Macaca fascicularis: one gene and its partners. The protein of the gene in region 2 purifies or fractionates together with the protein of the main gene of each other region. This does not show direct contact. Links are inferred from orthologs where the notes say so. Each region holds a gene or a part of one and is shown on either strand. Other genes may lie near its edges.

Region 1 (4,159 bases), on a different chromosome or scaffold from region 2:
AAGATACTATAGCCAAGTTTCTGGTAAATTCAAAGGGAAATGAACATCCCCTAAAATATCCAGATCCTGAATTTACGTTTCATCACTTAATACTTACAGCAACAGCCTGAGTGCCACTGGAGCCATTTATTAAAAATTAGTCATTACTACTAAGCACATTCTCCCCACCCTTGAAGAAGACGAAGAAAAAAAACAGAACTACTCAGGTGTGGGGAAGGGGTGTGTATATGGGGCAAGTGAAAGTAGCAACTTGTCTCTCTGGGGACAATTAAAAAATGAGACTTTGGTTTGACCCAAGTATCACCAGGATGTCAGAAAACTAAGGAAGGGTCTTCTTCTAATAACTGCTTCATTGCTCTTCTTTTTCTTAAAATGGAAATGGTCTGTCACAATGTAGACATGGAAATGAGCACCATGTGGAACAGTGATTAGACAGCGAAAGAAACTAACAGAATTACTGGAATTTGCCTTCGGAGTGGTGTAGATAACGAAGTAGGAAGTGCTTATGCATGTTTTAAGGCTCGTGTTTAAGCAAAGACACATGCAATTCAAGATTAATATACAAGAACCACTTTTCAATTTTTTGAAAAAAAAATTAAGTTCAGGCTTAACTATGAAATAAAAATTTCACTACGTATACCTGCACTAGTTGCTAAACTGCATTCCACTTAAAGGACAGTACAGGTAACATGCCTCAGTAGACCGGAGTGTAAAAACACACAGACCACCACTGGACAGATCTCTATGTCATACACCGCCTTGGTTTTTTTTTTTTTTTCAAACGGAGTCTCCTCGCTCTGTAGCCCAGGCCGGAGTGCGGTGACGCCATCTTGGCTCACTGCAACCTCCGCCTCCCGGGTTCAAGCGATTCTCCTGCCTCGGCCTCCCGGAGCAGCTGGGGCTACAGGCGCGCGCCACCACGCCCAGCTAATTTTTGTATTTTTAGTAGAGACGGAGTTTCACCATATTGGCCAGGCTGTATGGAGCTCCGACCTCAGGTGAACCGCCCACCGCGGCCTCCCAAAGTGCTGGTATTACAGGTGGGAGTGAGCCGCCGCGCCCAGCCTATAAACCGCTGTTAAGGTTGCAAGATGAGCGTGTACTAGGATGTGTAACTGGTAATTTCTGGAGTGTCTGGCAACAAACCTCAAAATCAAATTTCCTTAGAAATCCTTGGCCTAAGTTTTATTTTTAAAAAGGTCAACACAAAATTAATAAGTTCAAAAGGTGGCAAGTTCTATCACATTAATAAAACCAAAGCACAGCACAGGCAATAATATATTAACAAGAAGGTAATTATTTCAGTAACAGCAGCAACAGGTTCCCTGGAGGAGAATCCCCACTTCTCTATAAACGCTGCACCTAGATGGATTCAGAGCACAAAATTTACCACAGGACAACATCTAGCAGACCGAAGTCAAGCAACGCTGATCTTTTAAACAGATTTCACATTTCTTACCATTTCCTACCTTAACACTCCACCAAAAAAAGCAAACACCTATCGAAATATAAAAAATAACGTTTCTAGCAACCCAAAAGTAGCTCAGAGATCTCAAAAAAAAAAAAAAAAATAGGGAAAGGGGTGCTGATGCTAATAAAGTGACACTACAAAAACTAAGTGCAAAAGTAAACCTACTCCTCACAGCGTATCACAGAACAGTTAATGGTTCAGGTACAGAGCCTCCTCCCCCAGGTCCTCCTTCCGCGACCATGACTCCCCAGTGACTATTTTACACCAAGTAACTACTGAAAACGCCCAAGGAAAAGAAGTGGGGGAGGGTGGCTTTTGAAGATTCAGGTAGCAAAGAGTGACTGCTAATTTCATAAACAATAATGCAAAACAAGCAAACCACCGCTCCTAGCCAATTACCAAGCAGGAGTCAAAGTTCCACCACGTAATTCGGGCCTGGGCCTTTTTTAGGCAAACACGTAATCGAAAGCACAGTCATTTCCCTCTTGATATTTTATTCATGCCGGCAATACCATTCACACTGAGAAGGTAGCAAAACAAAAGAAAAAAATAACAGCAGAGAAGGCAGAGGGGCGCGGGGTGTCCCAGCCTCCGTCTCTCCCCGGCCGCGAGCTCCCGCAGGCCGGGACGGGAAGCGCAGCGTCCTCTCTGCTGAGGTCTCGACCCCCACCCGCCCCACGGGGCCGAGGGTCCCCTGGGCGGCAGCGGGAGGGGACGTGGGGGCGGCGGGGACGCCAGACGCCGCGGGGACACCGGACGCCACAGAGAGCCTGTCGCCTCGGGGGCCTCCCCGGGCTGCGGGAAGTTTCCGTCCCGCTCTCGCGGCCCCTCCCGGCGAGCCCGCCGCAGCCCACGCTCAGGTGCAAACTTCCCAAACGTCGCTGCGCCCGGGGTCCCAACCCGCGCCCAGACCCGACGCCCTCCCCCGGCGCGATCCCGGCCGTCTGCACGGTCCGCCGCACCCATGCCCAGAAGGGACTGGCTGGGCCGCGGACCCGCCCGGGGACCCCACCGAGGACGCAGAGTGACCCCTCGGCCACCCCCGGCCCCAACCCTCCCCGCGGCCCCAGCCCCGACCGTCCCCGCGCCGCCGCGGGCCTGAGCGACCGGCCGGGCCTGCGCTGCGCGCCCCTCACCTTGGTGGCCATGGCGGGCGGGTCCCCCGGCCCGGGACGGCCGGCTTGTCTCCCGCGCCGCGGATGGTGATTCTGAGCCGCGCGGACGAAGGCAAGGGCGAGGGCGGCGGCTCCGGCTGGGCCCCGGCGCGGCGGCCGCTCCTGCGCCTCGGCCCCGAGTCTCGACGCTCAGGCCCAGCCGCTGGGCGCTCGGCTACTCCCGCGCCGCCCGCTCCTGCAGTTCCTGAAAGTCCCCGGCTGCGCGGCCCCCGCCCCTGCCGGCCGAGCCTCCCATTTACCGCGGCGCGCGCGGCGCCCGGCGGAAGCGCGCCCTGGGCCCTCGGCCGCGGCCCGGCCTCCTCGCCTCCTGGCCGCCCCCGCGCTGCGCCGCGCCGCGCCGCCGCCCCGGGCAGTCGCTGCCGCCGCCGCCGGGCGCCCTGGGTCGAGGACGGGGGCTGCGTCCCGCGCGGCGGCGGGATCCGGACAGGCGCCCCGGGCCATGGCCCGCACCCTGCGTGGCCGCCCCACGGGAAGCGCTCCGCGGCCCGCACAGCCGCTCGGGGGAGCCGAACCCGACTCCGGTTCACGCTCGGCCAGCGCCGCACGCCGTGGCTCGGGGCTTTCCGTGCATGAGGCGGGCGGGGGGGCAGGAACTCTCGACGCTCCCGGCAGACAGGAGCCCCGCAACCCCGCTGTCTTTGCCCCACGCCGGGGGTGTTGCGGGGTCGCCGTGCCCTTGGCCGAGTACCTTGAGTGCCACGTAAACAGCCGGGAAGGAACGGAGCAATGGCTTCCTGGGCCTCTTTCTCCTGCCCGGAGGCTCCCTCAGGCTGGGGTCCTGGCTTGGAGCCCCTGGGACGGGACGGTGGGGGGTTCGTTTTGTGACGTCCCATTAACCTCATTCTGGAATCTTGATAAGTTTAAAAATGCCCGAGGGCCCAAGAGGTTTAGGGGACAACAGGCTCTCTGAAGTGGAAACGAGGGCTCTAAAATTTTCCATCTTTCTGTCAGTGTTTCTCTCCAGGGTTGGAGATATATATATGGGTGTTATGAATAAACGAATGACTTGAATTGAGCAGCAAGATTTTTCGCTCAAGGACAAAACACAACTGGAAGATGTATCATAATTGGCATATTAGTGGAGTGCTTTTTTATTATGAGGGATATATTTGTAAGAAGAGACAACTATCAAATCTTCAATACTCTGATATTTAGAGTTAATGTCAAGTTTGTGTCTCCTTAAATACATTCTATTTGACCTGAGGTTTCACTAGTTACATTCAATAATGTGGTTTAAAATAGATACGGTATCGCAGAATTTTCTGTGAATTTTTGTGTTTGTTGAGCTCATGGTTAAGCTATAGTCATCATAATATGCATAAATAGTTGTCTTTCTCCATAAAAAAAGATGGAGGCCAATATTCATTGACAGCCTGCTTGCTAATATACTGGGCTTTTACATCCCCATCTCATTTAATCCTTATAAGAAACGTTTGAGAAGCTCATTATTGTCCACTGTTTACAAAGAAGAGCGAATCAGGGCTCACTTAAATAACTTGCGCTTTTGGTAATA
Region 2 (4,216 bases):
AGTCTGGGTTTTTGTTAACTTTACTAATTTGATGAAAATTGGTGTTCCCTATTTTTAGTTTGCATCTCTTTTCTTATTAGTAAAGTTACTGATTTGATTTCCTTGTGATAATTTAACAATTTCTGGTTCATCTGGGTTGATCTAGAGAAGATAATTGCTTACTGGGGTAGATGGACATGACTCGTCTGGTCATTTGATTTTTAATCACTAAATTGACTCCAGAGAGGAGGTAAAAGATGAATGCTTAGGTACCTATCAGACCAGGCACATTCCACAGGTTTTCAAAATGATCTTATTTGAGACATCCTCCAGAGGCTTTATTTTTCTAGCAAATATTTCCACTCTGCTTGTGTACATATGGACTTTCTAACATTTAAGGATTAGGACACAGACTCAGGGGCCAGAGCTTCCCAACAGTGGCTCCTATAAGAACTTAACAGTCTAGGACAGTAGACAGGCGACTGGGTTGCCTGCAGTAGCCACATCCAGAGAAACTGAAACTTACTTCACTTAATAGATGGCCAGTGCTGCCTTCTTCTTTATTCTGAGTTTCTAAGGATGCGATCTATCTATAGTCTTTGCAGAGGTATCCTGCTTTTCCTCTATTTCTCACTCCATGCTCACTACAGAGAGACAGGAGTTTCCCTACTTCATGAGGCACCAGTCCAGTACCGGAAAGCCCTGTAGGTGACAAGGCATCAAGAGCCTGTGTTCCTTCTAGCCCCAGTTCCATACTAGGGGTCTTGGGCATATTCACCTAATCTGTCTGGCATTTTGTTTCTCTTCCAAAAAAATGAAATGGCTGGACTAGATATTCTAAGCTTCCTTCCAACTCTAAACCTTCAGTGAATCTCATTGTAAATCTAAATCTAAAATTTCAATGAATCTTAGGCTAGTGAAGCACATTGTAAAATCCATCTGTACAGAGCTTGCAAAACTATGCCCTGAAATTTCACGAGATCAGTGTTCCAACATATCGTCTTCTTGCCCTAGCTCCCATACAAAGGATTTTCCTTTGTGATCAAGGGTACCTCATGACTGCCTCTGAAGCTGAACATCCTTTGAATGATGGCTGAAGTCTTCCCTTCAGCTTCTCAGTGACTTCAAGAAAAACCATTCTAATGTACGGAATTGATTAGCCACATTTTAAAAGCTTACATCCTATAAAACATTTTATAAATAAAGTTTCACTGTGATCTCTTTAGAGGCTTTAAAAGAGGAGAGGACGTTTCTCAGAAACATCTGTCTCTGCCTTCACTTCGCCTTCTCTTCCCAGAAGTCATAGCCACTGGCATGTGTGCCAGGACCAGGGTGTCTGTGGAAGGGGACAGGCCTGGAACCACTGCTCAGGGGGCAAAAGTCCACGGTTGTATATGTGTGTCTCTTTCCAAAGTCAAGCGGAAGTGATTTTGAATTGTGTGCCGTGCTCAGCTATATTGATTGTGAGCAATTCAATTCACTTCACATTTTTAAAGCAGCTCAAGGAATCATACTGACCAGAGATTCCGAATTAGCCAGGATTCCTCTCATAGTATACATAAGCCAAAGTGTAGGACAGAATATAAGGCATTCCATTAACATATTTCAGTGCTGAGGATCACCTTTAGGAACTCAATGTACATGTGAAAAAGGACTCACCTATTTGCTTCTCCAAAGATGATGCTGTATGCTTCTGGCTGGTAGACTAGTAAAAGAGAAAGAAAAAAGATGCATAATAAAAATAAAATTATTTAAGCAAAAGAGACAGAATCGTCAAATAAACCAAGCCCTGGAAAGAGAATCCAAATACCTCAGAACTTTTGCTGACTCAGGCTTTGGTCAAGCAATTTTGCTTCACTGTCCCTCAGTTTTGTGATTTGAAATCGTACCAGTATTTTAAGTATTTTCAAGATTTAGTTTGGTCATCTGAACAAATTTACTTCCAAGCAAAACTTAAAAGTTTTGTTTGTTTTTTACTCCTTAAATCACTAGGTATGAGGCAGTAAGTGGTTCAACAGACTGAGTTGACAACTGAGGAAAGAAAAACTGTTGGGCTCTGATTCTTTACAAAATAAAAAATATTCCCTTCACTCCTATGAGCCTCCATTTCTCTGCCTATAGAATAGAATAACTAGAACAACCCATTTCTAAGAAAAAAAAAAAAGGATTGAAAAGCACTTTGCAAGCCAGGCAGTGGGCCCTCCACCCCCTTATGCCTGGTGCCTCCAGGGCACAGCAGTCTGCCAGCAGGCTTACCTCTCGGAGTTCTGCCAGCTCTTTCTGTAAGTGGAAGAGCTGAAACATCCCCAGTCCCAATCCTACCAAGGCAACCAGAACCATGAAAAACATCACAAGGAGACAAAGGCCTGTGCTGTGGTTTCCCCTCTTCTTCAAGGGTGGCAGCGGTAGTGGAGGCAGTGGTGATGGCGGTGGAGGTGGTAGTGGCGGCGGTGGCGGCGGTGGTGGTGGCCTCCTTTGACCAGGCCTTCTGGGCACAGAGGTTGGACAGGGAAGAACTGTGCCTGGAGGGGCCCAGGGAGAGCTGGCACTGCTGTCCACCCAGTAGATCTGGGGATATGGGTAATTGAAGGGCTGCTGCATGGCAGCCGGTGAGTCAGGCCAGCCCCAGCAAACGGTTTTACTTCTCAATCCTGTAGAGGCTGAGGTGTCAAGGACAGGACTCCTGTTGCTGACTGCTCAAGAGGAGGCAAGCTGGATCTCTCTTATAGAGTTTCCATAGCTAAGGGAAACACCTCTGTCTTTCTCTTTCTCTATGTCTCTCTCTGATTCTGCTTCTCAAAGAAACACCCACTCACTTTGCAGCTGAAGCTGAGAAGCCTCAAGAAGCTCAGAGCAAACCCCTGGAAGTTTCCGCCCACAATCTTCTGACGAAAGCCTTGGAAGCCTCAGTTGCTATCGCTGTACTACCCAAACAGGTTGGTAGGCTATGCTCACCTTCCTGGGATCCTGTAGAGCAGGTCAGCATTGGGGTAGAGCCCTGTTGGCGTGAACTGCTCCCAGCTACAGGAGAATGGCCAGTGGGGCTATAATTTTATGAATTATAATTGTATCCTTTTTTATACATTATAATTGTATAATGTTAAGAATTCTACCATGTATACGACCAAAAAACTATTTAAAAATACCAAAATACCTCTAACAAAAATTGTTCAGAACCATATTTTTTAAACTATAAAAATTTTACTGAAATTGGCTCTGAGGGGAGAGACCATGGAGCCATGGCCAGAGAAGTCACTCCCACATTTTAGTTTTTGCAGGAGGAAAACACCTGTTGCCATCATCGCTTCCCCACACACAACTACCATTTACCCTGACCTGCCAATCACCATAATTTACAGGTTAAAAAACCTGCTACACCCTCTTTAGAAATTAGATCAGAGGCTGCAAACAGTGGAACCCACAGAACTGCTTTGTATTTCACAATGTTTTCATTTTCATTGTTTGCCCAGCTTATTTATTTACGTATTTATTTAAATAGAGACAGAGTCTCACTCTGTCACCCAAGCTGGAGTGGAGTGGTGCTATCATAGTTAACTGCAGCCTCAAACTCCTGGGCTCAAGCAATCCTCTTGCCTTGGCCTCCTAAGTAGCTGGGATTATAGGCATGAGTCACTACACCTGACTAATTTATTTATTTATTTATTTTTGTAGAGATGGGGACTCGCTATGTTGCCCAGGCTTGTCTCAAACTCCTAGCTTCAAGACATCCTCCCACCTCAGTTTCCCAAAGTGCTGGAATTACAGTCATGAGCCACTGCACTCAGCCCAATTGACCACTTTTAATATCAATATTAAAAATATTTTAATATATATACATTTTAAATACACATTAAAATACATATTTTTGTTCTGTTTTGCAATATCAGAATATCAGACACCCTCGAGGCCATCTCTGCAAACCCAATCAGTGGGAAGTAGGTAGCAGCTGCTCCTGAGAATGAGCGACAGGTGTTCTGGGTCACCCAGCCTCCGCCAGCGGCCTGTGTCTCACACATCACCTCACCATCTGAAAGGCCTGCCTGGTCCTTGCCGATATTTCTGTGTCCTGTCCCTGTTATGGTTGCCAGATTAAATACATGGTGCCCAGTTAAATTTGAATTTCAGATAAATAATACATAATTTTTAGGACGAGTATGTCTTAAACACGTCCAAACATGGAATACACTAAACAATTATTCATCATATAACTGACATTCAAATTTAACTCTGTGTCCTA
Region 3 (4,243 bases), on a different chromosome or scaffold from region 2:
GCCCAGTCCAACACATTTGTTAAATGAATGATTGAGACAGAGAAATAAAGATAAGTTGCTCCATTCTATCCAGGCCATCCCCATCTCCCCAGGGCCCAGCAGAGAGTCAGACTCAGGATGGGTTTCCTGCCTGCACTGGGTCTTACCTTTCTGTAGGTGGATGATGTCAGGGAAGTTAGAGAGCAGGCCCTGGTAGAGAGACAGTGTGTCCAGCATCTGGAAGAGGTCATTCTTGGGCTGCTCAGCAAACATCTCCCCGATGGCTTCATAGGTACGGCCCGTGTGAGAAATGGCACTGTTGAGGGCCTCAGAGCAAAAAGGGGGGTCCATCTGGAAGGAATGACTGATGGCCTGGAAGGCACTGCCCAGCTTCTGGAATTCCTTGCGGAAGCCCCCCACGTGTTTACGCACCAGCTCTGACGCCACGGTGCTGAGCTGCAGGACACTGTCATCCATCTTCTTACTGAAGGCCTTGAAAGTGTCCACGCGATCTTCCACGTCCTGCAGGTCCTGGTGCTCGGTGGGGATCTGGAAGGTGAGCAGGAAGCTGGCACCCACCATCTCATCCTTCTCCGCCCGGCGTTTGCCCATCTTCCACTGCTTGTCATCTAGGCAGCTAAGGAAATGCTGGAAGCCTTCGTACTGGGAGAGCACAGGGTGGCTGGTCATGTGGTCCATCCAGAGGATGAGTCTCCGCTTCCGCTTTTCAATGAAGTCCTCCTCGAAGCGGCCTGTGGCCTGCTTCTCAGGCAGGTGGGGCACTGAGATGACAGTGAACTTGTGTAGCAGGCGGTTATAGAGCCAGTCAAAGTGTTTGTAGCGCCGGTAGACAGGTGAGGCAGCATGGGTGGGTGTGAGCTTGTAGGAGATGTAGCTTTTGATGCCCTTGAACTTGGTCTGTTTTGTGGGGTCCTCCACAGAGCAGGCAAATGGGTGGGGGTTGGCCTTCCACTGGGGGCCACGAGGGCCCATTTCAATGGAGTATGTCTCAGCGATCTTGGCCATCATGGGCACATCACCCAGGATGAAGGCCTCCACTCCAGAACGCACAAAGCATGAGAAACGGTTGAGGTTACGGCCCACCACACTGCCTCGCTTGGCAGATGCCAGGCTGTCCTGCCGCTCCAGTGGTGGCTTGGGCCGGAAGGCCATGTGCTGGCTGGGGTAGGCACCAGGGTAGGAGAGGTTGAGGGGAGGGTGCCCATTGGTGCCCAGCCCACCAGCCCGTGGCTCCTCCACCACTGTGCATCCATCGTCCCAGTCATCCCAATCATCATCATCATCCTCCTCGAAGCTACCCTGGTTTGAGAGGAAGCCACTGCCCCCACCACTCCTAGCTGGGTTGGCCACACTGGGGCTATTGTACAAGCTCACGTGGGCCCCCGGAGAGCCTGCAGGGCTGCTGGAGTAGTCAGCATGGTTGGTGCTGATGCCAGAACGGACGATCTCCACGTAAGAGGCAGGAAAGAGCCCTGTCTCCCCACGGCTGTTCTGGCCCTGCAGCCAGCCATCCAGTGAGATCTCGCTGAAGATGACCAGGTCCTCATCCTGCTGGATGCTGATTTCCTCCTTGTTCTCACTGTGAAAGTCATAGAGGGCTCGGCCTTTCAGTGCCATGGTTGGGCTGGGTGGTACAGACAGATGGGAAGGAGAGGGTCCTGTCCAGACCCGGGATGCTCACAAGGAAGTCCAAGAATGCACTCGCAGCTGAATGGCGCTTACACAGTTCAATCTCTCAGGTCCTAAGGTGGGGTCTCAGCACCCACAGATGCTGTCCAATCTTCTGCTCTTCAAAGCAATGTCCACGGCCCAGAAACTGCCCTATCAGGTCTCCGGGCATATGCTTGTGAGCAGGGAGGGCTCATGTCCATAGCCTCCTCCCTTAGCAGCCCCTGGGGGATTAGAGGGGAGTCTCTCCTAACTCCTACTCCCAGAAGAAAAGTCAAGTGACCTGGAGAAATCTGCCCTGCGAGGGGAAAATTTCGACACTTTCCACTGGAACAACGTTCTAAAATAGAAGAGACTCACTCGGAAACCACCATTCCAGAAACCCAGGCAGGGCTCGGCTGTCCCTCTGGCTCCCAGATTCTTTTGGCCACTCTGGCTTTGGGAGGCTCTCACATTCCTCTGCAGATCTGCCCCTTCCTCCTTCCTCCTCCTCTTGCTCCTGGGCCACTGGGTTTTCAAATATCCGGAAAATCCAAGAGGGGCAAGGAGAAAAGCAGCAGCCGCCTGAATCGAGTCCAAGGGTGGATGTGTCCGGCTTCACAACGAGCCAGGCCGGGAAAACAAGGACTGAGGCTTACACAACAGGCCGCCAACTCTTCGACCCCGGCTGCGCAGCCGGAGCCCCCGCCGGCTCGGGCGCCCTCTCCCCGCCCCAGAAGTGGCCAGTCCCAACCCCGGAGGAAGGAGGGGGCGCGACGAGGCGGTCGGGCGACTTCTGGCCAGTCGCTGAGTGGTCTCTTTTGTTTGCCTAATTCCTCAGCAGTTTCTGAGACTGACGCTGACCCTGCTCTGAATCCCAGGAACCCCGTCCAAAGGTAACCCCAGCAGAAACCAGTTCTTCACCCGGGACTTACGACCCCCGACCCCCACCCTCGCGTGCACGCACACACTCAACAGTTTGGAGTTTGGAGAGTGAGCTCCGGCGAGCAGATGGCGCGGCTGGCCGTCTGTCCGTCCGTCCTCCGCTCCGCCCTGCGGGACCCGGCCAGTGGGGGGCGGGCTGCGCCCCCAGCCTGCCTTCCCCTGCGCTCGCAGACCCTCCGCGCCGCCAGCGAGAAGGCAGCTCCAAAACAAAAACGCGATTCCGGGAGGTGGCGTCCCGAGGAAGGAGGGGATCGCCAAAGGGGAGGTGAGGGGTGGGGAGAGGGAGGAGGGAGGGGGAAGCAGGCTGGAGAATCGGGCAAACTCCGCTGCACTTCCGTGCGTCCCGGCGGGGCAGGGACGGCCAGCTCCGCCCTCCCGCGGGCCCGGGGCGCTGCAGCCGAGCCCCCGCCTACTCCTCCGCGCGGCTTCCCATCTGGCCAGTGCCCTCGCTCAGTCCCGGAGGCAAGAGGGAGGAAACGACCCGGGAACGAGGGAGCCCGAGAGCCTCCGGGGCTGGTCTCTGGGACCGCCACCTCCTCTGCTCTCCCTCCGTCTGTCTGCCCTCGCCGGGAGACACCTCACGCCCCCGTGGTTGGAGCGCCCGGCGGTGGAGCTTGCCAGCCACTGCTGCCTCGCTTCCTGGACTCCGTCATCCTCCTGCCTTTTCCGTGACGCAAATGGAGTAAAACTCCCAAAGTTTGCAAAGCGTGGGGCTGCAAGGAGCACCGCGCCAGAGCCAGGATGGGGAAATCGGGCCGGGCGGGGAGAGGTGCGTGAAAAGCCGTGCCAGCTGGGGTTGGGGAGCAGAGTCGCGGGCTCGCCTTCCCACCTTCCCATTCCTCACTCCTGCTCCGCAGGGACGGGGTCGTGGCGCAGCTCGGAGATTGTTTTCCGGAGGGGTAGAAACGGCCTGCGCGTTCCGGGCGTCTGACCTAAGATACCGACAGCTGAGGGTGCAGCACCCTAGCCAGATAGGGCGACCCTGCCCTGGGCGACTAGCTTGGAAGGAGGGAAAGACACTACCCTACATCTGCAGCGACAGGGAACAAGTCTAGGTGCCACCCGGTTCCGTGTTGCTTAGTGCGGCAGCGGGACTGGATGTTCTGTACTAGCCAGGGGCAGCAAGGAGAGAGGTGGTCAGGTAGAGAGTCTTGAGGCAAGTGGGATCTGATCCTCGGTCAGCATATCTGGAACACTTTGGGCACTGAATCTGCTAGGCACTGTGCTGGGCACTGGGGAGTACACCACAAGTCAGTCGGGGTTCCTATCCTGGGGGGCTTACAGTCCATCCTCTCTTGTCTTTAATCAATCCATTCTCTGTCATTCATTCAGCCAAGTCATGCACTCAAGAAACATTAACTGAGTATCTACTCTGCACCAGGCCCCTGAGCTACAAAGACAATTAAGACATTATCCTTATTTTCCAAAAGCTCAGATGTATTGTGACAAGTAGACAAATGCTCCCTGCCCAGTGTGACTAGTCAGTGCCATGAAAAGTGCACATGAGGATACCTACTCCAGCCTGGGTGGAGCAAGGATCAAGGAAACCTTCCTGAAGGAGGAGGTGCCTAAGATGAGGCAAAGGCTTCAGGAGGATCCCCTTTCCTGGCTGTACCCTGGAGTCTTGTCTACCCTGTCCAGCTAGATCTTC

The links. Proteins that work in one complex are often made in the same cells at the same time.
Region 1: the proteins of FASLG (region 2) and SNX9 purify together in Homo sapiens (co-immunoprecipitation; 3 studies listed by BioGRID and IntAct, with this or other methods). This does not show direct contact. The link is inferred for Macaca fascicularis from reciprocal best matches to the Homo sapiens genes FASLG and SNX9.
Region 3: the proteins of FASLG (region 2) and SNX33 purify together in Homo sapiens (co-immunoprecipitation; 3 studies listed by BioGRID and IntAct, counting the BioPlex papers as one, with this or other methods). This does not show direct contact. The link is inferred for Macaca fascicularis from reciprocal best matches to the Homo sapiens genes FASLG and SNX33.

Annotation. Positions count from the first base shown.
Region 1 is NC_088378.1:66,161,072-66,165,230, reverse strand, and holds the start of SNX9 (sorting nexin-9), read right to left. Parts: upstream 2,809-4,159; 5' UTR 2,620-2,808; coding exon 2,608-2,619; intron 1-2,607. UniProt on the Homo sapiens protein: Involved in endocytosis and intracellular vesicle trafficking, both during interphase and at the end of mitosis. Required for efficient progress through mitosis and cytokinesis. Required for normal formation of the cleavage furrow at the end of mitosis.
Region 2 is NC_088375.1:30,264,097-30,268,312, reverse strand, and holds the start of FASLG (tumor necrosis factor ligand superfamily member 6), read right to left. Parts: upstream 2,801-4,216; 5' UTR 2,581-2,800; coding exon 2,236-2,580; intron 1,685-2,235; coding exon 1,639-1,684; intron 1-1,638. UniProt on the Homo sapiens protein: Cytokine that binds to TNFRSF6/FAS, a receptor that transduces the apoptotic signal into cells. Involved in cytotoxic T-cell-mediated apoptosis, natural killer cell-mediated apoptosis and in T-cell development.
Region 3 is NC_088381.1:52,871,566-52,875,808, reverse strand, and holds the start of SNX33 (sorting nexin-33), read right to left. Parts: upstream 2,809-4,243; 5' UTR 1,618-2,808; coding exon 147-1,617; intron 1-146. UniProt on the Homo sapiens protein: Plays a role in the reorganization of the cytoskeleton, endocytosis and cellular vesicle trafficking via its interactions with membranes, WASL, DNM1 and DNM2. Acts both during interphase and at the end of mitotic cell divisions.